4 linked regions of the Saccharomyces cerevisiae S288C genome follow. The gene in region 1 interacts genetically with each later gene. Each region holds a gene or a part of one and is shown on either strand. Other genes may lie near its edges. The genes, in order: ARP1, BNI1, TUB3 and MYO2.

The links.
Region 2: mutations in ARP1 (region 1) and BNI1 are lethal when combined (synthetic lethality), as found in Saccharomyces cerevisiae (7 studies listed by BioGRID, with this or other methods).
Region 3: mutations in ARP1 (region 1) and TUB3 together harm fitness more than expected from each alone (negative genetic interaction), as found in Saccharomyces cerevisiae (4 studies listed by BioGRID, with this or other methods).
Region 4: mutations in ARP1 (region 1) and MYO2 together harm fitness more than expected from each alone (negative genetic interaction), as found in Saccharomyces cerevisiae (4 studies listed by BioGRID, with this or other methods).

What each region holds. Positions count from the first base shown.
Region 1 is NC_001140.6:361,554-367,278, forward strand, and holds ARP1 (actin-related protein 1), read right to left. Parts: upstream 2,601-5,725; coding exon 1,446-2,600; downstream 1-1,445. Other genes in the region: YHR127W (uncharacterized protein), read left to right, coding at 1-91; FUR1 (uracil phosphoribosyltransferase), read left to right, coding at 562-1,212; YHR130C (uncharacterized protein), read right to left, coding at 3,412-3,747; YHR131C (uncharacterized protein), read right to left, coding at 3,787-5,725. UniProt on the Saccharomyces cerevisiae protein: Core component of the dynactin complex which assists cytoplasmic dynein by increasing its processivity and by regulation of its cargo binding.
Region 2 is NC_001146.8:127,012-137,018, reverse strand, and holds BNI1 (formin BNI1), read left to right. Parts: upstream 1-1,635; coding exon 1,636-7,497; downstream 7,498-10,007. Other genes in the region: arginine permease ALP1, read left to right, coding at 1-1,079; guanine nucleotide exchange factor SEC2, read left to right, coding at 7,935-10,007. UniProt on the Saccharomyces cerevisiae protein: Required for the assembly of F-actin structures, such as actin cables and stress fibers. Nucleates actin filaments. Binds to the barbed end of the actin filament and acts as a leaky capper, slowing both polymerization and depolymerization.
Region 3 is NC_001145.3:21,548-26,639, forward strand, and holds TUB3 (alpha-tubulin TUB3), read right to left. Parts: upstream 2,137-5,092; coding exon 2,112-2,136; exon of another isoform or gene 2,017-2,111; intron 1,814-2,016; coding exon 501-1,813; downstream 1-500. Other genes in the region: PGA3 (cytochrome-b5 reductase), read right to left, coding at 1-152; phosphate transporter PHO84, read right to left, coding at 2,490-4,253; YML122C (uncharacterized protein), read right to left, coding at 4,491-4,871. UniProt on the Saccharomyces cerevisiae protein: Tubulin is the major constituent of microtubules, a cylinder consisting of laterally associated linear protofilaments composed of alpha- and beta-tubulin heterodimers.
Region 4 is NC_001147.6:921,801-930,945, forward strand, and holds MYO2 (myosin 2), read left to right. Parts: upstream 1-3,920; coding exon 3,921-8,645; downstream 8,646-9,145. Other genes in the region: PRO2 (glutamate-5-semialdehyde dehydrogenase), read right to left, coding at 1-1,105; FRT1 (Frt1p), read right to left, coding at 1,432-3,240; SNAP receptor SNC2, read right to left, coding at 8,934-9,145. UniProt on the Saccharomyces cerevisiae protein: Myosin heavy chain that is required for the cell cycle-regulated transport of various organelles and proteins for their segregation.

The sequences.
Region 1 (5,725 bases):
GGTAAGAAAACTGTTCCATGGCGCTCTAGTTGATGGAAGGCGCATCCAAGTGGTGATTGCATCTGATGAATCGTCCCACTTGTCGTATTAGAGTTTGTCAACGACACTCACAAGGTATTTAATCAGCAAAATCCCCGCCACAAACTATTTTTTTGAAGACATGCTTTCTCATGACTGCCTAATAACAATACCTCATTCTACTAGTAATCGACCTATGTAATTATTTCATAAACTATAAAGCAGGTCATTGCAATAACAGAAAGGCCGGTTTTTCTATAAGCTTATCTCATCGCATAAAAAATCGACAGTTGTAATTATCTCCGGCGGACTTTTCCCTTTCCGTCTTTTTTTTCAAAATTTTTTTTTTTTTCACTTCTTCTTTCAAAGCTGCCTCAAAAGAGATATATATATTGGTAAGAATCCTCTTCCAATACTAGCTTCATTTCTTCTTGAACCATGAACCCGTTATTCTTTTTGGCTTCTCCATTCTTGTACCTTACATATCTTATATATTATCCAAACAAAGGGTCTTTCGTTAGCAAACCTAGAAATCTGCAAAAAATGTCTTCGGAACCATTTAAGAACGTCTACTTGCTACCTCAAACAAACCAATTGCTGGGTTTGTACACCATCATCAGAAATAAGAATACAACTAGACCTGATTTCATTTTCTACTCCGATAGAATCATCAGATTGTTGGTTGAAGAAGGTTTGAACCATCTACCTGTGCAAAAGCAAATTGTGGAAACTGACACCAACGAAAACTTCGAAGGTGTCTCATTCATGGGTAAAATCTGTGGTGTTTCCATTGTCAGAGCTGGTGAATCGATGGAGCAAGGATTAAGAGACTGTTGTAGGTCTGTGCGTATCGGTAAAATTTTAATTCAAAGGGACGAGGAGACTGCTTTACCAAAGTTATTCTACGAAAAATTACCAGAGGATATATCTGAAAGGTATGTCTTCCTATTAGACCCAATGCTGGCCACCGGTGGTAGTGCTATCATGGCTACAGAAGTCTTGATTAAGAGAGGTGTTAAGCCAGAGAGAATTTACTTCTTAAACCTAATCTGTAGTAAGGAAGGGATTGAAAAATACCATGCCGCCTTCCCAGAGGTCAGAATTGTTACTGGTGCCCTCGACAGAGGTCTAGATGAAAACAAGTATCTAGTTCCAGGGTTGGGTGACTTTGGTGACAGATACTACTGTGTTTAAATAAATCACACCCGAACACCATCTTGAAGGTTCAGAACGGCTGAAGCCGCATATCAACTTTTGGTTTCTACTGTTTTAAATTTCCTTTCTCGTTTTAAACCTTTGTTGCCGTCTCTTCTACTATCAATTTTGTTGTTCATGCATGTTTAATTACCTTTTTTTGTAAAAATAATATAAACGTATCAATGGCTATTTATAACAAATATGCTTGAAAAATCTAACGACTCTGTTTCTTACATTAGGTTCGAATAAACACGGGTACTGTCCTCTAGCCAATCTGACTTTTTGGTCCAAAGTCTTTGAAAGGTAGATAACCCCGTTAAAATAGAACCACCAATCCATGTAGTATATTTTCTTTCTGAAGGGGCTATAATCTTTATCTTGGATGTTCCTTTGGTTAATGCCTCCAAATCCCATAGCATTCGGTCTCCAAAGCCTTTAAGCGTTGTAGTTCCGCCACTTAGGATTATCGATGACAGTAAAGGTTTCCTTAAATCCAGATCGACTTTCCAAATAGATTGCATGCACATATCAGATAATCCATCGTACCCTAAGCCGATGATTTGAGGTGAAAATAATATTTCTGGAGCACGATATCGATCATTCCCCACCTCTATACACCTCCCGTCGGGCAATTTGAATGTCGAGATTAAATCTTGAGTACCTTGTAAGTATTTCTCCTCTTCCTTTTTAATATTCTTGGCCAAATAACAAACTTTCTCTTTCATCGTGCGAACAATCTCTCGTTCACTGCTGGAAAACAACGAAACACCAGCTGATTTCCGTAGTTGAAATTGTAACTGCTCTGTGATATCTGCTCCTCCAATATCCATCCTCATCATAGACGCAGGTAATGCAAAGCCGTCATATATGGGAACAGTGCTACAGTATCCTTCACCACAGTCAACTACACAACCTGTAGTTCTCCCACTAGCATATAATGACAGAACAGCAGGGTTTGAAACGTACAAAGCCGATACGTCAAAGGTCTCGAACAATACTTGAGCCATCTGCTCTCTATTCTTCAAAGGATTCATCGGGGCTTCCGTAATTAATAAAGGATGCTCACCTATATTTTGCAACTGTAGGACTTCATTTAACACATATGACCATATTAGTTCCATAGAATCCCAATCTTCCACCACGCCGTGCTTTATGGGGTATCGTAATTTTAATAATCCACGCAGTTTTTGGGCATTGTTTCCAATAAATGTATCTCCTTGCAGACCTTCGAGCATAACTTTATCATATTTGGTATTTCCTACGAGACAATATTCCAGTGCTTTAGGCCTTTCCTCACCACTAAATCCTGCTTTTATGATCCCAGAACCATTGTCGATCACTACCGGTTGATTGTACAAAGCATAGCTGTCACTTAGCTGGTCCATTGGCTAACTTTCTTTCTAATTCCTCAATTCGTGGTATAGCATTAGCATGTACTCCTTGGTCTATGCCCTTTTATTAATTTGCTGTTTTATTGGGAATATCTGCTATTTGCTTCGCTATTATTCAATAAAGGTGTTTATCATTATTGATGTGCATCGCGAAAATGGCCACTTTGGAAATGAACTTTTTCTTGAAAAGATTAATACAAACGGAAAAAGAGAAGGCAATAGGAAACTCACCGTCACACAGGTGTACTGTGTCCTTTGCTTTGAGCTCTTGTTCAGAACATTATGCTACTTAGCATTCTTTTATGAGCTTTTTTCTGTAGTCTTATTATAGGTTGATGAAAGCGTTACCTTCAAGAAATGATTTTTAACGTGGTATAATAAACACTGTTTATCATGGTAAAACAGGTATTTCTTTTATTCTTTGGAATTACCAGACGATACCCATTCAAAATTCAACTTCTAATCAAACGTTGATCAATAAATACTGTATTATGTTGCTTGTTTGAAATTAGAGGCATTGCCTTTGTTAAATTGAAATATAAACTGGAAAAATGAAGCGAAAATAAAGTACTGTCTATAAACAAAAACCTTAAAATGATTAATGTTAACCTTTCTGAGCAACGAAGCAATCCATACGTATTGAAAGCTTTAGCTCTTGGAGTACGGTGTCGAGAAATCGAAGTAAGACCTAGTAGAAAATCATTAGTTTGTATAGACTAGTCAATGACAAAGTAATAGTTGAAAACAATACTGTCTTAGTTCGCAACCATTTATATATATTTAAACTTATTTTTTACAGCCCTTGCTAATTCCTGATGCCAAGTAACGAGGGGCAAATCATCTGAGTATATACGTACATATACATCAATGATGCCAATCGGAAATGCTTTAACATTTCTGAAGAATTCTTTAAAAGGTTACTATTTTTACTCAATTCGAGAAAATGCAAAATATAATTACCCACTTTTATGTAAACATCGGTGTCAAAATCGTGAAATATACCGAATGATAATGTTGAAAAGAAACTCAAGTGCAAAAGAAAAAACACGATCCAAAGTGTATAGAATGAAATAAAAAAGAAATAGAAAAACTCCTCATCATGTAGCATATATCCGATGATAATATATATACTTTTAGTCATGATATTAATTCTGCAAAAACAAGATTACTGCATCACAGCTTATGCAGTAATCTGTCCATCATCATCGTCATCGTCGTCGTCATCATCATCATCATCATCATCGTCGTCGTCTTCGTCGTCGTCATCATCATCATCATCGTCGTCGTCGTCATCATCATCCTCACCATCATCACCGTCACCGTCGTCCTCCCCATGATCTTCAGCGTCCTTTGTTGTTCCAACAATTGCATTCTTATTTTTACAATTAAGTTCTATCAACGCCGTAGGTCCCACGATGAAGCCTTTTAAAAAATGATTCTTCTGCTTCTGTAAGCTCTGGCGGTTGCTAAAGTGAATTTTATTACTTGTTTCAAAGGTTGGTCCCGAAACTGGAATATAGATAACCTTACCCAAACAGTCGTTACTATCTAGAAATGGTTTGATGCACTTCAGAGAATCCCTCAAATAACGCCTTCTTGAAATTTCCTTAATAGCTGGTTTCCATTTAATATCATCCGTTCCGTAAGGTATATTGGAGAAGCAACTTAGAGTAGAAGATGCTCGCCTTCGATTTCTTATTCGTTCTTCAATTAAACATGAATAATCACTTTCACTGCCATAAGCATAACCAATATTACTGTCATCAGTATCATCATTAGTATCATCGCCAGCATATTCATCGGTTTCACCGTCATTTTCGTCCTCATCGGTCTCAGTAGCGCTTTCATCGTCATTGATTTCAGCGTCACGGTTTGTGAGACATAACGACCTACTGCTTTGGGATAAATCTGTGGCGGATTCCCCATTAGGAGCTAATCCTGATAGGTATATCGAAGAGCTTTGAGGTTTAGGTCTAATAGATGCCTCATCCCTTTCATTGGCTACCAAATTCGACGCAACACTCCGTAATTCCTCTTTCATAACCGCATTTTGTGATTGCAGCATAATCTCGCAGCCATCAACGGAAAGATGCTCAATAGGAGAGGGTGAATGAACTGATTCACCCACTGTGCTATTTGGAAATTTGATGGGGACAACCTCCTCGCTAATTGCACGCCTCAATGACTGTCTTTGGGGCATGGAAATAGCTCTATTTCTGTGCATTGGACGCTCTACTTTAATGGTGGTATTTACTGGAACACCAGGCTCTGGATGATCTCCCCCGCTTGATTCATGGTGTTCATCATCTTCTTCCGTTTCAATAACACTATTTAAGTTACTTGAGTTGGACCTGAGTCTGTGAAGCTTTTCTGTGCGTGAAGAATTTTTAGGCCTGAAAAAGTTCTTAATTTTAAATTTTAAACTTCTAGATGCAATCGAACGGGAAGCTGAGCAACCAGATAATGACCTTGTTGATCCCAGGGTACTGTTATCACTGGATTCTCCTGATGCAGCCGAAGATATCAATGCCTCTGTAGGCGTCTTTGAGAGGCCAGTGCAGTAATGATCTAGTAGACCAGCTGTGAAAGTATTCGAGCGTTCCCTGATAGTTGTATTGTTATTAGTGCTAGACCCGGTACTATATCTTTGGATTAAGTCCGGTCTGGAATTCGAACGAATGAATCTCTGCGAAAAAGACCCCATCGAACTCTCACTTCTATGAGTGTGTCTTCTTCTCCTCCTTCTCCTCCTTCTCCTTCTCCTTCTTCTGGGAACAATTCGATAATCTGGATACTCCCTGACTTCCAAGTCCAAAGACACAGATATCCCGATTGATAGGTACATAGACCAGTCAATCATATCATCTATATGAGAGAACCGTAATAAAAACTGTTCGCTTTCACAAGACATTCTTAACACAAAACTCTTCTTGGTATAATCCGTTGGTATCCCAAATCTTGCATTTTGTAAAGTGAAAGACTTGTAAAGAGCTTCATCGGTTAAATACCGCGATCGATCACGTTTCACTCTATAAGAGATCCGTTCTTGATCTGCTTTTTTAAACTCCGAAGCTGATCTCGTCGGTAGAGTGAAGAGACGGTGATGCAGATGTTGTGAT
Region 2 (10,007 bases), on another chromosome or scaffold:
TAAAGGTCATCGCGTTGCTCGGTTTTATCATTTTCTCATTCTGTGTTGTGTGTGGTGCGGGACAATCTGATGGACCCATCGGTTTCAGGTACTGGAGAAATCCAGGAGCCTGGGGGCCTGGCATTATCTCCAGTGATAAAAATGAGGGCCGTTTTCTCGGATGGGTTTCCTCTTTGATTAATGCTGCATTTACGTACCAAGGTACTGAACTGGTTGGGATAACCGCTGGTGAAGCGGCTAACCCAAGAAAAGCTCTCCCGAGGGCAATAAAGAAAGTTGTAGTGAGGATTCTAGTCTTTTACATTCTTTCACTATTTTTCATTGGCCTTTTGGTCCCATATAATGACCCAAAGTTGGATAGTGACGGTATATTTGTCTCTTCATCGCCCTTTATGATAAGCATTGAGAATTCAGGCACAAAAGTTCTCCCAGATATATTTAACGCGGTCGTGCTAATCACCATTCTTTCCGCAGGTAACTCTAATGTGTACATTGGCTCAAGAGTACTGTATAGTCTGTCTAAAAATAGCTTGGCGCCAAGGTTCTTGTCTAACGTGACCAGAGGTGGTGTTCCATACTTTTCTGTTCTATCTACATCCGTGTTCGGATTTTTGGCTTTCTTAGAGGTTTCTGCAGGCAGCGGCAAGGCCTTTAACTGGTTATTGAACATAACTGGTGTGGCCGGTTTCTTTGCCTGGCTTTTGATTTCATTTTCTCATATCCGTTTCATGCAAGCCATAAGGAAACGTGGTATATCGAGGGATGACTTACCTTATAAAGCTCAAATGATGCCTTTTTTGGCATATTATGCATCTTTTTTCATCGCTCTAATTGTTCTGATCCAGGGCTTCACCGCTTTCGCACCTACTTTTCAGCCTATAGACTTTGTCGCTGCATATATATCAATATTCCTATTTTTGGCCATATGGTTATCATTCCAAGTTTGGTTTAAGTGCCGCTTACTCTGGAAGCTGCAGGATATCGATATCGATTCTGACCGCCGGCAAATAGAGGAGTTGGTATGGATAGAGCCAGAATGTAAAACAAGGTGGCAACGAGTTTGGGATGTCCTTTCATAATTTTAGAATAATACTCCATACCACACACACACATATATATGTATGTATGTATGTATGTATGTATATGTATATTTGCCAAATCCTTGCTCAACTCTTTTCCTGTGATTATATGATTACTCCCTAGTTGTTTCGTTGTTAGCCGCCGAAAGTCATCGCCCGTAATTTCCATGGCTTACCCGACATCGGTTAGAGGAAGTTTTTGACGTGGAAGAGGGAAAGAAAGAAAAAACAGATGTGGAAAACTAGAATCCCTTTTAAGAACAATAGCACGGACCCTTCCTACAGATAAGAGGACACTGACGGCTGTGTGTTAATTATTTTCGTATTAAGCATAAAATTGGACAGTGGCATTCTTTTCTTCACCCTTCACGTTTTTTATACGTCTCATACAGTTGGGCCATTTTTTACTTTTTTTTTTGCCATTTGTATCTATCTTCTGTATTGAGGAGAAACATTTTAACTCAAGCCTAGTTAAATTCTAAATACACGCCACATAAAGAAGGCACCTGAACCTTTTCAACAAACGAGAAGCAAGAAAGGAAGAGAAGGAAAGGAAATGTTGAAGAATTCAGGCTCCAAACATTCGAACTCAAAGGAAAGTCATTCGAATTCGAGTTCTGGTATATTCCAAAATTTGAAGCGTTTGGCTAACTCAAATGCAACGAATAGCAATACGGGTTCTCCGACCTATGCATCCCAACAACAGCACTCTCCAGTGGGAAACGAAGTGTCCACTTCACCTGCATCTTCGTCATCTTTTAGAAAACTGAATGCACCTTCTAGGTCTACATCTACTGAGGCGAGGCCGTTGAATAAAAAATCGACATTAAACACACAAAACTTGTCTCAATATATGAATGGTAAATTAAGTGGAGATGTTCCCGTATCCTCACAGCACGCAAGGTCGCATTCAATGCAATCGAAATATTCGTATTCCAAGAGGAATTCTTCACAGGCGTCCAATAAGCTAACAAGGCAGCATACCGGGCAAAGTCACTCCGCATCAAGTCTTCTCTCTCAAGGTTCGCTAACTAACTTGAGCAAATTCACTACACCCGATGGTAAAATTTATTTAGAAATGCCGTCGGACCCATACGAGGTGGAAGTTTTGTTTGAAGATATTATGTATAAAAGAAATATTTTTCAGTCTTTATCAGAGGACAAACAAGAAGCTCTGATGGGCTACAGCATTGAGAAGAAATGGCTGATTGTTAAGCAGGATTTACAAAATGAGCTAAAAAAAATGCGAGCAAACACTACATCTTCTTCCACTGCCTCCAGAACTTCGATGGCGTCGGACCATCATCCTATCCTTACGGCTAATTCATCTCTTTCGTCTCCCAAATCTGTTTTGATGACAAGCGCCTCTTCTCCCACCTCAACTGTATACAGCAACAGTTTAAATCATTCTACTACTCTTTCATCGGTAGGTACGTCAACCTCGAAGGGGAAAAAATTAGTGAGCGGGAGTTTGAAAAAGCAGCCATCTCTAAACAATATTTATAGAGGTGGGGCTGAGAACAATACGAGTGCATCTACTCTTCCAGGAGACAGAACAAACAGACCACCGATACATTATGTGCAACGAATCCTGGCAGACAAACTTACTAGCGATGAGATGAAAGATTTATGGGTAACTTTAAGAACTGAACAGTTAGACTGGGTAGACGCTTTTATAGACCATCAGGGTCACATTGCTATGGCTAATGTACTAATGAACTCTATTTATAAGACTGCACCCCGAGAAAACTTGACTAAAGAATTATTAGAGAAAGAAAATTCATTTTTTAAATGCTTCAGAGTCTTATCAATGCTCTCACAAGGTTTGTATGAGTTCAGTACACATAGGTTAATGACTGATACTGTTGCAGAAGGTTTATTCTCTACGAAACTGGCCACAAGGAAAATGGCCACTGAAATTTTTGTTTGTATGCTAGAAAAAAAAAATAAAAGCAGATTCGAAGCAGTTCTTACCTCACTAGATAAAAAGTTTAGGATAGGGCAAAATCTTCATATGATTCAAAACTTCAAAAAAATGCCCCAGTATTTCTCTCATTTAACCTTGGAAAGTCATTTGAAAATTATTCAAGCCTGGTTATTTGCCGTTGAACAAACTTTAGATGGAAGAGGAAAAATGGGTTCCTTAGTAGGCGCGTCGGATGAATTTAAAAATGGTGGGGGTGAAAATGCGATTCTAGAATACTGCCAATGGACAATGGTTTTTATCAATCATTTATGCTCTTGCTCTGATAACATAAATCAAAGAATGCTATTAAGGACGAAACTAGAAAATTGTGGAATTTTACGAATTATGAACAAAATAAAACTGCTAGATTACGACAAGGTAATTGACCAAATTGAGTTATATGACAATAATAAACTTGACGATTTTAACGTTAAATTAGAGGCCAACAATAAGGCTTTTAATGTAGATTTACACGATCCACTATCATTATTAAAAAACCTTTGGGATATATGTAAAGGTACCGAGAATGAAAAGCTTTTAGTATCTTTAGTTCAACATCTTTTCCTTTCTAGTTCAAAGTTAATAGAAGAAAACCAAAATTCCTCTAAACTTACTAAGCAATTGAAACTTATGGATTCTTTGGTGACTAATGTTAGTGTTGCCTCAACTTCTGATGAAGAAACTAATATGAATATGGCTATCCAGCGGCTTTACGATGCCATGCAGACTGATGAAGTTGCACGTCGAGCTATATTAGAAAGTAGAGCTCTAACGAAGAAATTGGAAGAAATTCAGGCAGAAAGGGATTCTTTAAGTGAAAAGTTAAGCAAGGCGGAGCACGGACTCGTTGGACAGTTAGAAGATGAGTTGCATGAGAGAGATCGTATTTTAGCTAAGAATCAGAGAGTTATGCAGCAGCTGGAAGCTGAGTTAGAAGAGTTGAAAAAGAAGCATCTTTTGGAAAAGCATCAGCAAGAGGTAGAATTGAGAAAAATGTTGACTATATTGAATTCGAGGCCTGAAGAAAGCTTCAATAAGAATGAAGGCACCAGAGGTATGAACTCGAGCCTAAATTCTTCAGAGAAAGCGAATATCCAAAAGGTGTTACAGGACGGATTATCAAGAGCAAAAAAGGATTACAAGGATGATTCAAAAAAATTCGGCATGACACTTCAACCTAATAAGAGATTAAAAATGTTAAGAATGCAAATGGAAAATATTGAAAATGAAGCCAGGCAACTAGAGATGACAAATTTTGCTGAATTTGAGAAAGATCGTCTTGAACCTCCAATACATATTAAGAAGCCCAAAGTGAAGAAGATGAAAAATAAGGATAGGAAACCTTTAGTCAAGCCTCAAGAGGCGGACGTAAATAAACTAAATGACCTAAGGCGGGCTTTGGCTGAAATCCAAATGGAAAGTAATGATATTTCCAAATTTAACGTCGAAGAACGTGTTAATGAGCTATTTAATGAAAAGAAATCTCTGGCTTTAAAGAGACTGAAAGAACTAGAAACAAAATACAAAGGATTTGGTATTGACTTTAATGTCGACGAGATTATGGACAGTCCAAAGAAAAATACTGGGGACGTGGAAACGGAAGAAGACGCTAACTATGCCAGTCTTGACCCTAAGACATATCAGAAAAAGTTAGACGAGATTAATAGAATAACGGACCAGTTGTTAGATATTCAGACTCAAACCGAACACGAAATACAAGTAGAAGAAGATGGGGAAAGCGATCTTTCCTCTTCAAGTTCTGATGATGAAAGTGAGGAAATATACCAAGACGCATCTCCAACTCAAGAACTAAGGAGCGAACACTCAGAGCTATCTTCAGGATCAGGTCCTGGGTCTTTTCTCGATGCCTTATCTCAAAAATATGGTACTGGTCAAAATGTTACTGCATCGGCTGCTTTTGGAGAGAACAATAACGGTTCGGGTATTGGACCTCTACATAGTAAAGTTGAAAAGACCTTTATGAACAGACTCAGAAAATCCACCGTGTCTTCTGCTCCATATTTAGAGGAGTTAACACAGAAGGTAAATAAAGTTGAACCATATGAACAAAATGAAGATGAAGGTCTAGATAAAAAATCTTTACCGGAAAACAGCACGGCAAGTGCAGCTTCCGCCTTTGACAAAGCTGAGAAAGACATGAGACAACATGTGGAAAACGGAAAGCAAGGGCGTGTGGTAAATCATGAAGAAGATAAAACAGCGGATTTCAGCGCTGTGAGTAAACTGAATAATACAGATGGCGCAGAAGATCTCTCTACTCAATCATCTGTACTCTCCTCACAGCCGCCACCGCCTCCTCCTCCTCCTCCTCCAGTTCCCGCCAAATTGTTCGGTGAATCGTTGGAGAAAGAGAAAAAGTCGGAAGACGACACTGTCAAGCAAGAAACTACTGGGGATTCTCCTGCTCCTCCCCCTCCACCACCACCACCTCCTCCTCCACCCATGGCATTGTTCGGCAAACCCAAGGGAGAAACACCACCACCGCCGCCGCTACCATCTGTATTATCTTCATCTACTGATGGCGTCATTCCGCCAGCTCCACCTATGATGCCGGCATCGCAAATCAAATCAGCTGTAACATCACCATTACTTCCTCAATCGCCCTCATTATTTGAAAAGTATCCTCGTCCACACAAGAAATTAAAGCAACTGCATTGGGAAAAATTAGATTGTACTGATAATTCTATTTGGGGTACAGGTAAAGCTGAGAAGTTCGCAGATGACTTATACGAAAAGGGTGTTCTTGCTGATTTAGAAAAGGCCTTTGCCGCTAGGGAAATTAAATCATTAGCAAGCAAGCGCAAGGAAGATCTGCAGAAAATTACATTTTTATCCAGGGATATTTCTCAACAGTTTGGTATCAATTTGCATATGTATTCATCACTTTCGGTTGCCGATCTGGTGAAAAAGATTCTAAACTGCGATAGGGATTTTTTGCAAACACCGAGTGTTGTTGAGTTTTTGTCAAAATCTGAAATAATTGAAGTTTCTGTTAATTTAGCTAGGAATTACGCCCCGTATTCGACAGACTGGGAGGGCGTGAGGAATCTCGAAGATGCCAAGCCCCCTGAAAAAGATCCAAACGATTTACAGAGGGCTGACCAAATTTATTTGCAATTGATGGTTAATCTAGAATCATACTGGGGTTCACGTATGAGAGCTCTCACAGTGGTTACTTCGTATGAAAGAGAATATAATGAGTTATTGGCAAAGTTAAGAAAAGTCGACAAAGCTGTTAGCGCGCTTCAAGAATCAGATAACTTGCGCAATGTCTTTAATGTTATCTTAGCAGTTGGTAATTTCATGAACGACACTTCTAAGCAGGCACAAGGTTTCAAACTTTCAACCTTGCAGAGGTTGACGTTTATCAAGGATACTACCAATAGCATGACCTTTCTAAATTACGTCGAAAAAATTGTCAGGTTAAATTATCCAAGCTTCAATGACTTTCTAAGTGAATTAGAACCTGTATTGGATGTCGTGAAAGTTTCCATTGAGCAGTTAGTTAACGACTGTAAGGACTTTAGCCAATCGATTGTAAACGTAGAGCGTTCAGTTGAAATTGGTAATTTAAGCGATTCCTCAAAGTTTCATCCATTAGATAAAGTTTTGATAAAAACATTGCCCGTGTTACCGGAAGCCAGAAAAAAGGGGGACTTGTTAGAAGACGAAGTTAAGCTGACTATCATGGAATTTGAAAGTCTGATGCATACGTACGGTGAAGATTCTGGTGATAAGTTTGCAAAAATCTCATTCTTTAAGAAATTTGCAGATTTTATAAATGAATACAAAAAAGCTCAAGCGCAAAATCTAGCCGCGGAAGAAGAAGAAAGACTTTATATAAAGCATAAGAAAATAGTGGAAGAACAGCAAAAAAGGGCACAAGAAAAGGAAAAACAAAAAGAGAACAGCAATTCGCCTTCATCTGAAGGAAATGAAGAGGATGAAGCAGAAGATAGGCGCGCTGTTATGGATAAACTATTAGAACAGTTGAAAAATGCAGGTCCTGCTAAAAGTGACCCATCTTCCGCCAGAAAGAGAGCCCTAGTGAGGAAAAAATATCTTTCTGAAAAAGACAACGCTCCACAATTACTCAACGATTTGGATACTGAAGAAGGGTCTATTCTTTATTCTCCAGAAGCTATGGACCCTACTGCCGATACAGTGATTCACGCTGAATCACCCACTCCGCTTGCCACAAGGGGTGTTATGAATACCTCTGAAGATTTACCATCGCCATCCAAGACATCTGCGCTGGAAGATCAAGAGGAAATTAGTGACAGAGCTAGAATGTTATTAAAGGAGCTAAGAGGCTCTGACACACCAGTAAAGCAAAATTCCATACTCGATGAACATCTAGAAAAATTGAGGGCCCGCAAGGAAAGATCCATAGGTGAGGCTAGCACAGGTAACAGGCTAAGTTTCAAATAAAATATTAAACCAAAAAATTATGACAACAGTAATACCAAAACAAACATCCAAACAAGCACTAGTACAAAGAAATAGTCACGAATCATTAAATCACATATATATATATAATTTTAATGTTTATAGATCACTTATGATACACTTTACATTCATCTTTACTCAAATGATCTCTACTATTGCATTTTTGAAATAATTCCTTTTATTATGTGCCATTGTTTCCATGTGACTACCCGGAACTTGTATTTCGCGTTCGCTGAAGCACCTTTAAAACATGGCTCTCGTTTACCTAAGTGACAAGCACAGTGATTCGTGCAATAATATCATTTGTCACTTGCAGCTGTAGCAACGTTGATTTCCATCCAAAAGTTGTAGAAAATTTTGACCTTTAGTTCACTGGGATATATTTTCCTTTACTAGCTGTGTTTGATAAAGGTTTCAATATGGATGCTTCTGAGGAAGCAAAAAGAGTATCAATACAGGTTACATCCCTGTCTACGCAATTGATCGAGAGCGTGGATAAACAGTCACACTTAGAAGAACAGCTTAATAAATCCTTAAAAACAATAGCCAGCCAGAAGGCAGCAATTGAAAACTATAATCAGTTGAAAGAAGATTACAACACTTTAAAAAGAGAATTGTCAGACAGAGATGACGAAGTGAAAAGATTGCGTGAAGATATAGCCAAAGAAAATGAGCTTCGAACTAAAGCTGAAGAGGAAGCGGATAAACTAAATAAAGAAGTTGAGGATCTGACTGCTTCCCTCTTTGATGAGGCTAATAATATGGTTGCTGATGCTAGAAAGGAGAAATATGCTATCGAAATCTTAAATAAGAGACTCACTGAACAACTGCGTGAAAAGGACACATTACTGGATACTTTGACCCTACAGCTCAAGAATCTGAAAAAAGTGATGCATAGTTTAGATAATGAAAGCACAGTCACAAATAATTCGAACAGATATTCCACAATATTGAGTGATTCAGCAACTTCTTCTAGCACTTCTTTGAATAAAGTTCCAACTTCATATTCTCTTGCTTCCCAAGATATTTATAGCGGAATTGTGTACTCGCCAAGCATTTCATCTATTCGTTATGATATAAGCCTTTACAATGAATTTCTAAAATTTGTCGCTGCACTACCCCGTTGTGAAAACATAAAGGCAACTTCAACCGAATCAAAGTTAATACGAAGATTGGTAAATGATGAAATCCAGCCTATACTTAAGATTGATAATGCTTCAGGCATCGGCTGGTTGGTTAAAAAAACCCTACTTTCCTTGATTATAGATGGTTTGGTGGTCGTGGAACCCCTAAGCGGCGTTAATGCAACCTACCAAATTGGCTACAACTCAAGTAGCCCTGCAAAGCAAGCCACTTCGAATATGCCAAAAATGTTCAAGTTTCCCTTAGATTCACCTCCAGTTGCAGTGCACGCCGCATGTTCCTTTTGTGGAGAATCTAGAGATGACATTATCGAACACGCAAGGATGTATATATTGAAAACGTTGCACAAGACTGACGACGGTAAAGAACAAGTTACGAATACGTATCCCTTGTGTCATTGGTGTTTGCTAAAGTTGCGGCAGACATGTGAAATCTTTGCTTTCCTGAGATCATTGAAGGTAGGCGCATGGCATTTAGAAAAGCTAACGACGCAGAACATTACCAAGGAAGATTTGGAAAAATTCTCTGAAGTAACGAAGCATACCAAAAGAGACGGCAGGGTTTCTTCTCAAGACAAAAAAACCAAACGTTTAAGTTTTATGGCAGGACTTGGTATCAATTCTTCAACAAAAAATAAGCCAAAGATGGAGATTTTTTCTTCTGAAACAAATGCAAAGCCAGGACAACCTACCACTAATATTCAAAGAGCATGGCTGCAATTGTGTAAATTGCGTTGTATACTTCATTGGACTCATATTGGCATATGGGCAGTGGATGATTCAATTTCTTCAAAAATTGGACCGTTAGTTGAGGATGACAGCGATGAGGATCAAAACGATGCTATATCGGTTCGCTTGCAGGACAAAGCTCTTTGGAAGCAGGACGCAAAAAGACCTTTTTCTTCATCTAGCGCAGAAGAAAGTCAAAAGAGCGACGCTTTTGACTTTGAAAGTGGAGATATGGAAAATGAAATTACGGGTGAATCTTCAAGTGATGAATCCTCTTCAGATGGGTCTTCCACAGATAATTCAACCGCAGATAGTTCATCAGAAGATGAATCTTCTCTAGCAGATTCTACTACAAGTAGCGCAGATTCTAGTTCACCAGAGAGTATAGACAACGGTGAAGGTGATGACACGGTAACGAAAGATGACAAAAGTAGCATTAAGTCGGCAAATAATAATGAAGAAAACAGCGATTGCGGAGATAAAAAAGGTCGTTCTATAATAAAGAAAAAGGCTCCTCAACGCAAGATACAAAAGAAGAAGTTACTCCAAGATTTGGATGATTTAGAAGAGCAATTTAGAGAAGAAAGCGCAATTGATCAGACTGAATTTGAAAACGCTGAG
Region 3 (5,092 bases), on another chromosome or scaffold:
ATGAAGAGAATGGGTAAACTCCACAGGATTTTCAATTCACCAGACATATACGTGGTGATTGCAACACCAACAACGAATAGCGCGGCAGGAATATAGATCCCGTGGACAGGTTCGTCTAGAATGTTAGTTCCTTCTATGTCTTCTTTTGACATTTTCTTCACGCGGTTCTTGGAGTGCTTCCTTTTTTGTGATAAGTTTGGGTGGCAACGAGATGAGCTCAAAACTCTTTGTTTTTTATGGGTATTTTTGTCTTAGAATATTTTCAAATTTTTCAATATTCCGCGGAACATAGGGAAAAAAATAAATTTAATAAGCTATTGTTCTAACTGTACACCTAAAGGTAAGTGAAAAATAATTCGATAATTAGAGGTATCTTTATTTGGATAGAATATGCATATATATATATAAGCGTATATATATATATATATATATATGTATATACATATGGACATTAAGTAAATATAAATCTATAAGTGGGTATCGGGATCAGAGCCACTTTCTTAGAACTCCTCAGCGTAAGAATCGGCACCCACTTCAATATAATCTCTTTCTAAGGCAGCTAAATCTTCTCTAGCTTCGGTGAACTCACCTTCTTCCATACCTTCACCGACATACCAATGGACGAAAGCACGTTTGGCATACATCAGGTCGAATTTCTGATCGATTCTCTTCCAAGCGTCCGCGATGGCAGTGGTGTTGGATAGCATGCAGACAGCTCTATCCACATTGGCTAATTCGGAACTTGGTATCACACTTGGTGGCTCATAACAAATACCAATCTTAAATCCTGTTGGACACCAATCCACCATTTGTACTGTTTTTTTATTCTTCACCTGTTCGACGGCTCTTTGGACATCTCTGGTCACCACGTCACCTCTGTATAACAAACAGTTAGCCATGTACTTCCCCTTTGTTGGGTCACACTTAACCATTTGATTGCCCGGTTCGAAACAAGCGTTTGTGATTTCTGACACGGAGTTGGATTCATGGGTGGCCCTCTTCTTGGACAAGATGGGTGCGTAGGAAACCAAAGGGAAATGAATTCTTGGATATGGTACCAAGTTGGTCTGAAATTCGTTCAAATCCACGTTTAATGAACCATCGAACCTCAAAGAGGCTGTAACAGATGATATCACTTGGGCAATCAACCCGTTCAAGTTGCTGAAGCTTGGTCTAGAAATTCCCAAGTTCCTCTTGCATATATCGTAAATGGCTTCGTTATCGACCATAAACGTACAGTCTGCGTGTTCCAGGGTGGTATGCGTGGTTAAAACCGTGTTGTAAGGTTCCACGACGGAAGTAGACAATTGAGGCGCAGGATAAACGGCGAATTCCAATTTGGATTTCTTCCCGTATTCATACGATAAGTTTTCTAATAACAGGGAACCTAAACCGGAACCAGTTCCACCACCGAGGGAGTGGGTGAACAAGAACCCTTGTAAACCGTCACATTGGTCGGCCATCTTTCTAATTCTTTCTTCAACTTCATCCACTATTTCTCTACCCACTGTATAATGGCCTCTTGCGTAGTTATTGGCGGCATCTTCCTTACCGTTAATCAATTGTTCTGGATGGAAAAGCTCCTTGAAACGTCCTGTACGTACTTCATCGATAACATTGGGCTCTAAATCCACGTAGATTGCTCTTGGGACGAATTTTCCGTACCCCGTTTCATGGAAGAATGTAGAAAATCCTTCTTCACCTCCCTTAGGTTTTGACAAGCCATCCTCCAAATGGCCGTCTTCCTTGATGCCATGCTCTAGGGAGTACAATTCCCAGCATGCATTACCTATTTGACAACCTGCTTGACCAACTGTTGTAAAAAAGAAAAATAACAAAAGTTCCAGCAATCCTCCGAAGAAGAAGACACAAAAATCACTCCCCATGTAATGAGGTCAATTATGAGCTTTTTCGTCCGAGTATGCCCAGAAAAAATGGAGAAAAAGAAACTGTTAGTAAACTGTGCTGGTACAAGTCAAATTATTTGCCGTAAATCAACCAGATGGTGACCAATTGGGAATGAATCAAACCAGATCAGATCAAACTTCTTTCCCTGTCCCACAGGTGCCATTGGTTGCGAATATTGAACAAAAAAAGGAACGCATACATACCATTAATACTAATGACCTCTCTCATTGTCTCAAGTCGCTTGCTTAGTCGATTAATGTACTTTATGAGATACCTGATCTGTGTTTATATTTCTTTTAGATGTGCAATTTGTAAAACGTTTCGTGGTTTCCAGAGGCTCGAGAAATGATATGTCGGGTAACGTCTGGAACTAAAAAAGAAAGGACGATATGCTCTGCTCTGGCACCAGCCAACAGGATGGCAGAGAGATGTGAGGAAATAATGAAATTAAAAGAAATTATCGAATAAATATGTAACCTGACAGTATTTATAGATTATGTAAGGGGTTTGATAATAAGTTTATAAAAATGTTTTTGTATTATTTGTTCTAGTTTACAAGTTTTAGTGCATCTTTGAGGCTTTTATGCTTCATGTTGAAGTTGAGATGGGCTGGAAGATTCAATGTCATTATTCTTGTTTCTGAAGTTTAGCGTAGCAGGATCGATTTCATCGTGGTATAGCTCGTTAATTTCTTCTAGAGTCTTTCTCTTAGTTTCTGGGATCAACAAGGTTGTGAAGATACCCAACAACATGAATAAGGCGAAAATTTCCATGACGTGAGGTAACCAACAGTTGGTTGGCTTACCGTCTCTAGCACAGTTATGGTCGATTAGAGTACCCAAAGCGGTTTGTGCAATAATGGCACCGACCTTACCAGATGCAGCAGAAATACCATGAGCAGTAGATCTGTAACGAGTTGGGAAACACTCACCAGGAACAATAAAGGTGGTTGTGTTTGGACCGAAGTTTTGGAAGAATTGACAAATGACGTAAAGAGCCAACAGACCATGGTCACCAAGTTTATGGTATGCGAAACCGATGACACAGAACAAAGCGGTCAAGATGATGAAACCGGCTAATTGAATTGGTTTTCTACCGATTATATCGACAGTGAAGACGGATACCCAGTAACCAGGTAATGAACCAGCACAAATCAAAATCAGATTACCGACAGCAGTATCATACAGTTTCTTGTAAACGTTTTTGGAACCGGCATAACCGATGGTTTGCAGAATAACAGCACTGTTTAAACTCAACCCGTAGAAAGCAACATCTAAGGTAAACCATGAACCAGCAGTACCTAGCAAAATCTTACCGTACTTCCATTGACCAAAATGTCTGCAGAAATCTTTGAACGAAGCCTTTGGAGGATGATTGTCAAGAGATTCGACGGCAGTAGAAGCTCTTTCCAAACCGTTAATTGCCATGTCTTCATCACTGGTGTCGTGAATTTTCTTTTCGCCATCTTGTTCTTGTGCGGCAGCAGCAAGTTCCAACTTAGCGTTAACATCCAATTGATATCTAGGAGATTCTGGAATAGTTAATCTGAAATACAAACATGCCAACCCTAGAACGGTACCCAACCCAATAAGGATTCTCCACATTTGGTCACAAGCCTTTTGACATCTAGCATCACATTCAGCACCAGAGTTTGCGTATTCTAGTTCGCCCTTGTAAGCAGCAACCAAGATAAGAGCGATGATACCACCGGAGATTTGACCCCAAGCTTGGTTAGCAAAGACAGCACCCATGATGGCACCTCTCCATTTGGTAGTGGCAAATTCAGAAGTAATAATAGAAGATAGTGGGTAGTCACCACCGATACCAATACCCATGACAATACGGTAGAATGTTAAAACAGCAACGAAGTTAATAGCAGGAGAATGAGCAACAGTGGTTTGCAGAATGGTACAGACAATCATGATAATAAGTTCCATACCATAAATTCTCTTACGACCAACAATATCAGCTAAAGTACCAAAACCAAATTGACCAATAACAGTACCAACAGAAGTGGAAACCTTCAACAAGGTTTGACTTGGACCTGGCATACTACCGTGCCAGTAAACGTAGGACATCATAGTGATACCCAAATTAATGGCAAAAATATCATAAGAATCTGTCAAGAAACCAACACCAGCAATGGAGATGGTCTTAACTTGTTGCCAACCGAAACCTTCGTCATCGATGGACTCCAAAGCCAATCTTCTTCTTTCCAGAGGATCTTCAATATGAGCAAAATCATTCAAATGGTTGTGGAAGGCCATGTTACCACCTTCGGTAAGGTGTTCTTTATGAAGACTTCTTTCAGCAACATGAATAGTATCTTTATTGACGGAACTCATTTGGATTGTATTCGTGGAGTTTTGTTTGTTGTGTGCCCTGGTGATCTACGAGATGAGGAAAGATAAAATTTAGAAGTGAACTTAGAACTTTACTTTATACAAGAGATGAGGATGAGCTTATATATATACGTATACGAGCCACAATAGTAAGTGGATCTAAGTTGGCATTACCGGTGTGCAATGTGGTTGCATCATGCTGCCAAAAAGGAATAATAATTAGCTCATAGATGAGGTCGGTTAATTAATGAGTAATACGCACGTTTTTAATCTAGCTAATAAGCAGGCAAAACGGGAGAAGAGGGATAAGGAAAGCCTTTCACACGACATTTGGTGCATAACTGCACCGATCTCACTGATTTCGATGGACTGCGGCGAACCATAATCAATTGCCGTCGCTAATTTCCGCCCCACGTGCTGGAAATAACACGTCCACGTGGAACTATTAAATTGGCATCGGGCGGTGCGGCAGTGAGAGGAACGGGTGTTTTTCAGCCGGGCAACATTTTCTTCATAGCCGCTAGATGAGTTGAAAGGGCCCTTACGAGCAAATGCTGCACGTATAGGGCGCCTATAACAGCACCAACGTGCGTAATACTGATTGCTGTCATTTCTTGGCATGTTTTCTTGGTCAAGGTCTGTGATCTCCCCTTCCGGTTGTGTCTTTTCATAATAATATGGTTTTTTTATTCATAATTTGGTAATAACGGTTGATAAACGAGCGGCTGATAAATTAGTTTCTTTTTTTTTTTAATTTTTTTTTTTTTTGATCTCATTTCTTTTTTTATTGAATCTTTTTTTTTTTGTAAGAAAATTAAGGTTTATTAGGCAGAGTATACCGA
Region 4 (9,145 bases), on another chromosome or scaffold:
CAGCGTTTGCTTTATTTTCCGTTACAATAGCGTCGGTATGTCTCGAAGAGTGTGTATTTATATGTTGAATGGCCGATTCTGTAGATGTAACAAACTTGGCAGCCAAATCCAAGGATAAAAATTCCTTATCAAAATCTTGCTCCTCATCAGCATCAACGGTTTTGCATTGAATTGCTTCTGTCAATTTCCCTAACTCATTCAGTTTATCAAAATACGCAGTTTTCAAATCTTTTGTAGCGTGGATAGTCACTCCGCCTTCCAAAGTTAAGTTTTCCAGAACTTCCCACCACTTAGAGAATTTTGGGTTAATCAACAACGTTTCCATAGCGTTGCAACCAGCTGGGTAGTTAGTCTTTGCATCCAAACTAATTCTTTTTGCCTTAATCAAATCTGCGTCTTCATCCAAGTAAATTGAGCAGATACCATCCGCATGACCCAACACGGGAATTTTTGTAGTGTCCTTGATTTTTCTGACTAAGGCATTGGAACCACGAGGAACAACTAAGTCGATGTACTCATCTTGATCCAACAAGTCGGAAACATCCTGTCTGGTTTCGATCAATTGCACAGAGCCCACAGGAACACCAGTCTCACTTTGGAATTGTGCAATGGTGTCGTTAACGATCTTTGCCATTTCTCTGAACGTGTTCACAGACTCTTTACCACCCTTCAAAATTGCAGCATTACCAGACTTGATACTCAATGCGGTAATATTGGCAATAACTTCTGGACGGGATTCAAAGATAACTAACAAAACGCCGACTGGAGCGGTTACTTGGTACAACGTCAAGCCATCATCTAATTCCCTGGCCATTTTAACCTTGCCAACAGGGTCTTCTAGTTCGGCTACATCCTTAATACCTTGTAACATAACTTCAAATTTGTCCCCTTTAAATAGGTCGAGACGTTTCAATAAAGAATCCGCTAGGCCAGTCTCTTTGGCAACAGCTAAATCGATTTTATTCGCTTCTTCAATGGCATGCGCATTAGCCTTCAGGGCATCGTGAATTTTGTATAAAATATCTGATCTGCCCTCGTTTGAGATGGTTTTCAAAATATTCCCTGCTTTACGGGCATTTTTGGCTATTTGTTGTGAACTGGACATCTTTATATTGGTTGCCTGTGCTCCTTTTTGTTCTTACTCTTTTTACCAATACGCTTTTACTTTTTCTCTTCTTTTCTTGAAGCTTTTTGAAAAACGTCTGTCGACTTTTTTCATTTTTTGACTCATTGACCCAACGCCACAAATGAACAAAGAAATTTGGCCACTGCATCGCCTTTCCTGCCCCATTGATTCAAATGTCCATGCGCGTTGATTGATGTGTGATATATATATATATATATATGTATATAGATGTATATTATTATGTTCAGAGGTGATTTTATCTTTGTACGCGTACCATTTTTGTAAAGTGACCTTGTTTTGACTTTTTAACGAGTAAAAAAACGAGTTAACAAATTCTTGACGTAAACGATAAAGCCGCCCATCAAAAGAAATGCAATAATGTCAATGATGAAATACCTATACAGGTAGATGGATTTCGTGTTGTTCTTCGATTTATTTAACACGTTTTTCAGCTCTATCAAACTATCCATTTCCCTTAGAGAGGACTTTTGTTTATTTAATCTCTCTTGGCAAACCTCCATTCTCCTTTCCAATCCTTGTAATTGCGCTACACTTTCTTCGACTGATATCTTTAATTCATTAATAAACGCCTTATTGTCATCCTCGTCAAAGTCTGATTTCAACTTGACCAAGAATTGATTAATCACCGTGGTTCGCAAGGTGGTCATTTCGTCTAATAAAAGGGTTAACTCTCCTGATAGAAGATCATACTTTTGGATAGTTTTTTGAACGTTGTTTTCATTCTTGATTATTGTATCGTTTAAATTTCTTCTCATCTCATTCTCGATCTTCACTAGAAGTGTCGAAATATGATTTTGATAATAATTCAATTCATCAATGTTATCATTCAAATTTGAGTTGCTCTTCGAAATAGAGTTTGAGCTAGAATCAGGAGTGGCTGCGGAGCCATTATTATTGTTCACCTTCAGTACACTCTTGAACCTAGTGGAAGAATCCGCTGACTTCTGCCTATTCAGTAAATACTTAAATCCCAAGGTATCGGTGCCAGGTGCAGTGGAAGAGCCTGATGAATTCCTTGGTTTCCTCTGGTTAGTCAAATATCCTAAAGAGGGATATACACCGTTTAAACTTCTTCTATCCACATCTTCTGAATCTGATGAGGTGGATGACGTGGACGAAAAGGCTGATGACGACAAAAATGCTGGTACATTAGAACGGGAATACAGAAATGACGAAGAATCGTTGACAGCAGAACCGTCCAAATCATGATAAAACAAAGATGTGCTGGGGGAGGAGTTTACGGAAATTTGTGATTGAGAATGCATATTCCCTAATTTAATGCCGCCAGCGGTGGATGAGGGCTCAAACACTACCGACTCCCTCAACGTATCAAATGGGTCTGAATTTCCCAAAGAAGGCTGTAAAAATTGGTTAACCAATCGTTTCCTCTCATAATCAAAAGAACCAGCGGATGATCTACGTTGCGAAGAGGAGGAACCCTGTATTTGATTGAAAGCTAGCCCAGTATGACAGCTTTGGAAAACGGACATCGAACCACGACGTCCTTTACTAAGGCAAGACAATCTGGCCCTATTAGAGTTGAAGTCGGTTTTCGGCGACACTCTGAATGGATCATCCAAACTGGATGCCCCACTATATGATCTACTGTGTCGACCTACTCTGTTATCGATGTCATCTTCAAACAAAAAATCGCTAAACTTCCCGGTTTTGGTCGATCCCAGGACAGGTAAGCTAGTCATTTCCAATGAACGTTGTCGTACCCCATGTGCCCTATTCTTTGTCACATATAAATGTCTCCTATCATGCAGCGCAGGCTGTTCCTCCTTTTCTTTCTCCCTTTCCTTTTGTAACAACGATCCCAAGTTTACTTCAGTGCTTGGTCTTGGGACCACCGGATTATCATTCACTGCTATGACAGGTAATCTAGAAGATGATTTCGAAAAGTGTGCAACATTTGTTTTAGCTTGTAGAGGTTCCGGCTGCGGCTGCGGCTGTAGACCGGATTCTTTTATCTTCACTGCGTCGCCACTGGAAGCCCTTCTTCCCTTACAAAAGCCTCTTGGGAATGAAGGAGGTAACAGGGTACAGTTCCTCGATCCGGGATTCTCCATCCGGTCAATTAGCAAGTTCATTTTCACTTAATGTATCAACTATAACTTAAACCAAAAAAAAAAAAAAATTTAGATATGGGAAGGTCTTTTCCTCCACAAATAGGGTGAACTATCCGACCCAGATCAATAAATAAATAGGCTCGAAGACGCCTCAGAACTCCGGTCACTGGTTTGTCTTGTTGATATACGATGTGCCAAGCGCCGTTTCTCGATGCTTATCTGGTTTAGTTTACGCTGTTAAAACCAAAACCCCAACAGATTTTCGACCCTAACGTATGTAGGGCTAAAATAGATATTGAGTAGGTTACAATTAATTATTGGCAATTGCACCTAGTGACACATTTACGAAAACGTAGGGCAAAAACTATTACCCGACCCAGGGCTATTTTGTGATTTTTTCCTTTTTTTTGTTTATGATCGCGCTTCTCGAAAAGCCAAATATCAGAAATCCCAAACACGCCTTCATTTGATACGATTCGTAGCCTGCGTTTCAGAGATCTATCAACTTTGCAAGGCCAATCAGAGAACAAAAAAGTCTCGCAAAGTCATTTCACTTTTCTCGCTTGAAATTATTCGTTCGATTTCTGGCTGCTTGCTTGTTTTTTGTTTTCTAAGGTACTATTCGACACCATTCCATTGGACAGCGATACTTATACCATTGTACATATAGGACATAAAAACAGCAGATATTACAGCGTATAATGTCTTTTGAAGTGGGTACACGATGCTGGTATCCCCATAAAGAATTGGGCTGGATTGGGGCGGAAGTAATCAAAAATGAGTTCAACGACGGCAAGTACCACCTGGAGTTACAATTGGAAGACGATGAAATCGTGTCCGTGGACACAAAAGACTTGAATAACGATAAGGACCAATCTCTACCGCTTCTTAGAAACCCTCCCATTTTGGAAGCAACGGAAGATTTGACCTCTTTATCTTACTTGAATGAGCCAGCTGTTTTACATGCCATCAAACAGCGCTATTCTCAATTGAATATCTACACATACTCGGGTATTGTTCTGATTGCTACAAACCCTTTTGATCGTGTCGACCAGCTTTATACACAAGACATGATCCAAGCATATGCGGGAAAGCGCAGAGGTGAACTGGAACCTCACTTGTTTGCCATTGCCGAAGAAGCGTATAGGTTGATGAAAAATGACAAACAAAATCAAACCATTGTGGTAAGTGGTGAATCTGGTGCTGGAAAAACGGTTTCTGCCAAGTATATTATGCGTTATTTTGCTTCTGTAGAAGAGGAAAATTCCGCTACTGTACAACATCAAGTGGAAATGTCGGAAACAGAACAAAAGATTCTAGCTACAAACCCTATCATGGAAGCATTTGGTAATGCTAAGACTACCAGAAATGACAATTCTTCCAGATTTGGTAAGTATCTAGAAATTTTATTCGATAAGGACACATCTATTATTGGAGCAAGGATCCGCACATACTTGTTGGAACGGTCCAGATTAGTTTACCAGCCGCCAATTGAGAGAAACTACCACATATTTTATCAATTAATGGCTGGATTACCAGCTCAAACCAAGGAGGAATTGCATCTTACCGATGCCTCAGATTACTTCTACATGAACCAAGGCGGTGACACCAAGATCAACGGTATTGATGATGCCAAAGAATACAAAATTACAGTAGATGCATTGACATTAGTCGGAATCACCAAGGAAACTCAACACCAAATATTTAAGATCTTGGCCGCACTTCTGCATATCGGTAACATAGAAATTAAAAAAACTAGAAATGATGCATCACTATCAGCTGATGAGCCAAACCTGAAACTGGCGTGCGAATTGCTGGGAATTGATGCCTACAACTTTGCCAAATGGGTCACCAAAAAGCAGATCATTACAAGGTCAGAGAAAATTGTTTCGAATCTAAATTATAGTCAAGCTCTGGTTGCCAAAGATTCCGTGGCTAAGTTTATTTATTCCGCCCTTTTCGATTGGCTTGTGGAAAATATCAACACCGTGTTATGCAACCCGGCTGTGAACGACCAAATTAGCTCATTTATTGGTGTTCTGGATATTTATGGGTTTGAACATTTTGAAAAAAATTCATTTGAACAATTTTGTATTAACTATGCCAACGAAAAACTACAACAAGAGTTCAACCAACATGTTTTCAAATTAGAGCAAGAAGAATACGTTAAAGAAGAAATTGAATGGTCTTTTATAGAGTTTAATGATAATCAACCTTGTATTGATCTGATTGAAAACAAGTTGGGTATTTTATCACTGCTTGACGAAGAAAGTAGGTTACCTGCTGGTTCCGACGAATCTTGGACCCAAAAACTTTATCAAACTTTGGATAAATCTCCTACGAACAAAGTATTTTCTAAACCAAGATTCGGGCAAACTAAATTTATCGTGAGCCATTATGCTCTAGATGTCGCTTATGATGTGGAAGGATTTATTGAAAAAAATAGAGACACCGTATCTGACGGACATTTGGAAGTGTTGAAGGCTTCTACCAACGAGACACTAATAAATATCTTAGAGGGATTAGAAAAAGCTGCCAAAAAACTGGAAGAAGCGAAAAAGCTTGAATTAGAGCAGGCTGGCAGTAAAAAGCCAGGTCCGATAAGAACGGTTAACAGGAAACCCACTTTAGGTTCCATGTTTAAGCAATCTTTGATTGAACTAATGAATACCATCAACTCAACTAATGTTCATTATATTCGTTGTATAAAGCCTAATGCAGATAAAGAAGCTTGGCAATTTGATAATTTGATGGTGTTGTCTCAACTCAGAGCCTGTGGTGTTTTGGAAACTATTAGAATATCTTGTGCTGGGTTTCCTTCTAGGTGGACTTTTGAAGAATTTGTATTAAGATATTACATCTTGATACCACATGAGCAGTGGGACCTAATCTTCAAAAAAAAGGAAACTACAGAAGAAGATATCATATCAGTGGTTAAAATGATCCTAGATGCTACTGTAAAGGACAAATCCAAGTACCAGATTGGTAATACAAAAATTTTCTTCAAAGCAGGTATGCTTGCATATCTGGAAAAACTTAGAAGCAATAAGATGCATAATTCAATTGTTATGATCCAGAAGAAAATTAGAGCTAAATATTACCGTAAGCAGTATTTGCAAATATCTCAGGCCATCAAGTATTTGCAGAACAACATCAAAGGTTTCATCATTCGTCAACGCGTTAATGATGAAATGAAAGTTAACTGTGCAACTTTATTACAGGCCGCTTACAGGGGTCATTCCATCCGTGCCAATGTGTTCAGCGTATTGAGAACAATTACAAATTTGCAAAAGAAAATTAGAAAGGAACTAAAACAAAGACAACTGAAACAAGAACATGAATATAATGCTGCGGTAACTATTCAAAGTAAAGTTAGGACCTTTGAGCCGAGATCGAGATTTTTACGCACTAAAAAAGACACTGTTGTTGTCCAATCTTTGATCAGAAGAAGAGCTGCTCAAAGGAAATTGAAACAATTGAAGGCAGACGCTAAATCAGTTAATCATCTGAAAGAAGTGAGCTATAAATTAGAGAATAAAGTGATTGAACTGACGCAGAATCTAGCATCCAAGGTCAAAGAAAATAAAGAAATGACAGAAAGAATTAAAGAACTACAGGTTCAAGTGGAAGAAAGTGCCAAGTTACAAGAGACATTAGAAAATATGAAAAAAGAGCACTTAATAGATATTGATAATCAGAAATCTAAGGATATGGAATTACAAAAAACTATTGAGAACAATTTGCAATCCACTGAACAAACTCTAAAGGACGCTCAATTAGAGTTGGAGGACATGGTTAAACAACATGATGAATTGAAAGAAGAATCTAAAAAGCAACTTGAAGAATTAGAGCAAACAAAGAAAACATTGGTTGAATACCAGACATTAAACGGAGACTTGCAAAACGAAGTTAAATCTTTAAAGGAAGAAATTGCTAGGTTACAAACTGCCATGTCGCTGGGCACCGTTACTACTAGTGTACTACCTCAAACACCATTAAAGGATGTAATGGGAGGCGGTGCTTCAAATTTCAACAATATGATGCTTGAGAATTCCGACTTATCTCCTAATGATTTGAATCTAAAGTCTAGATCTACTCCATCGTCCGGAAACAACCACATTGATTCATTGAGTGTCGATCGCGAAAATGGTGTCAATGCTACACAAATCAATGAAGAGTTATACAGGTTATTGGAGGACACTGAAATTTTGAATCAAGAAATCACGGAAGGCCTGTTAAAGGGATTCGAAGTACCGGATGCTGGTGTAGCTATTCAACTAAGTAAAAGAGACGTTGTTTATCCGGCTAGAATACTGATTATAGTTTTAAGTGAAATGTGGAGATTTGGGCTGACCAAGCAAAGTGAAAGCTTTCTTGCCCAAGTATTGACTACAATTCAAAAAGTTGTCACTCAATTGAAGGGTAACGATTTAATTCCAAGCGGTGTATTCTGGTTAGCAAACGTTAGAGAGTTATACTCATTTGTGGTGTTTGCTCTAAACTCTATTTTAACCGAAGAAACGTTCAAAAACGGCATGACCGATGAGGAGTATAAGGAGTATGTTTCATTGGTCACAGAACTAAAGGATGATTTCGAAGCTCTAAGTTATAATATATATAACATTTGGCTGAAGAAATTGCAGAAGCAATTGCAAAAAAAGGCCATCAATGCTGTGGTCATCTCCGAATCATTACCAGGTTTCAGCGCGGGAGAAACCAGCGGGTTTTTGAACAAAATTTTTGCTAACACTGAAGAATATACAATGGACGACATTTTGACCTTTTTCAACAGCATATACTGGTGCATGAAATCTTTTCATATTGAGAATGAAGTGTTCCATGCTGTAGTCACAACCTTATTGAATTATGTGGATGCAATTTGTTTTAACGAATTAATCATGAAACGTAATTTCTTGTCGTGGAAAAGGGGTCTTCAATTGAACTACAACGTTACTAGATTAGAGGAATGGTGCAAGACGCATGGCTTGACAGATGGTACTGAGTGCTTACAACATTTGATTCAGACCGCTAAGCTACTGCAAGTCCGTAAGTATACTATCGAAGACATTGATATCTTAAGAGGAATTTGTTATTCGCTAACACCTGCACAATTGCAAAAATTGATTTCACAATACCAGGTGGCAGACTATGAGTCTCCAATTCCACAGGAAATCTTAAGATACGTTGCTGATATAGTTAAGAAAGAAGCTGCGTTATCTTCATCAGGTAATGATTCTAAGGGTCACGAGCATAGCAGCAGTATATTTATCACTCCAGAAACAGGTCCATTTACTGACCCATTCAGTTTGATAAAGACAAGAAAATTTGACCAAGTAGAAGCCTATATACCAGCGTGGTTATCCTTGCCCTCAACTAAGAGAATAGTTGACCTTGTTGCCCAACAAGTCGTTCAAGACGGCCACTAAAACTGATGGCGCGAGAAACAAAATTGTACATGAATGCTAAAAAAAGAAATGACAAAAAAAGAGAAAAAAAAAAATGAAACTACATAGTTAATTAATAATAGAAGTATTTGTCAATAGTATGATAATGAAATCGATATTATGGAAGATATTAACCGCGCGCCGTATTAGTGTACACTATATTAAACTACATTTTGCTTCTTACTGAATTTATAAATTATGATTATATTATTATTACTATTATGACTACTGTATATATTTTTTAGAATTAGCATCGGGAACCGATGAGCGTTAGCTGAAATGGACGACGATAGGAACGATAATTACCACTAGTAAAATAATAACAACTAAGAATAAACACATTCTCATTTTTAGATCTTTCCACCACATTTGCTTTCTGACCCTGTTGGCGCCTCTCTTGAATCCTTGTGCGGAGATAGCCAAGTTATCAGCTTTGTCCTCAATGGATGTTAGCCTTTCACCACGTTCAGCAACCTTGTTGA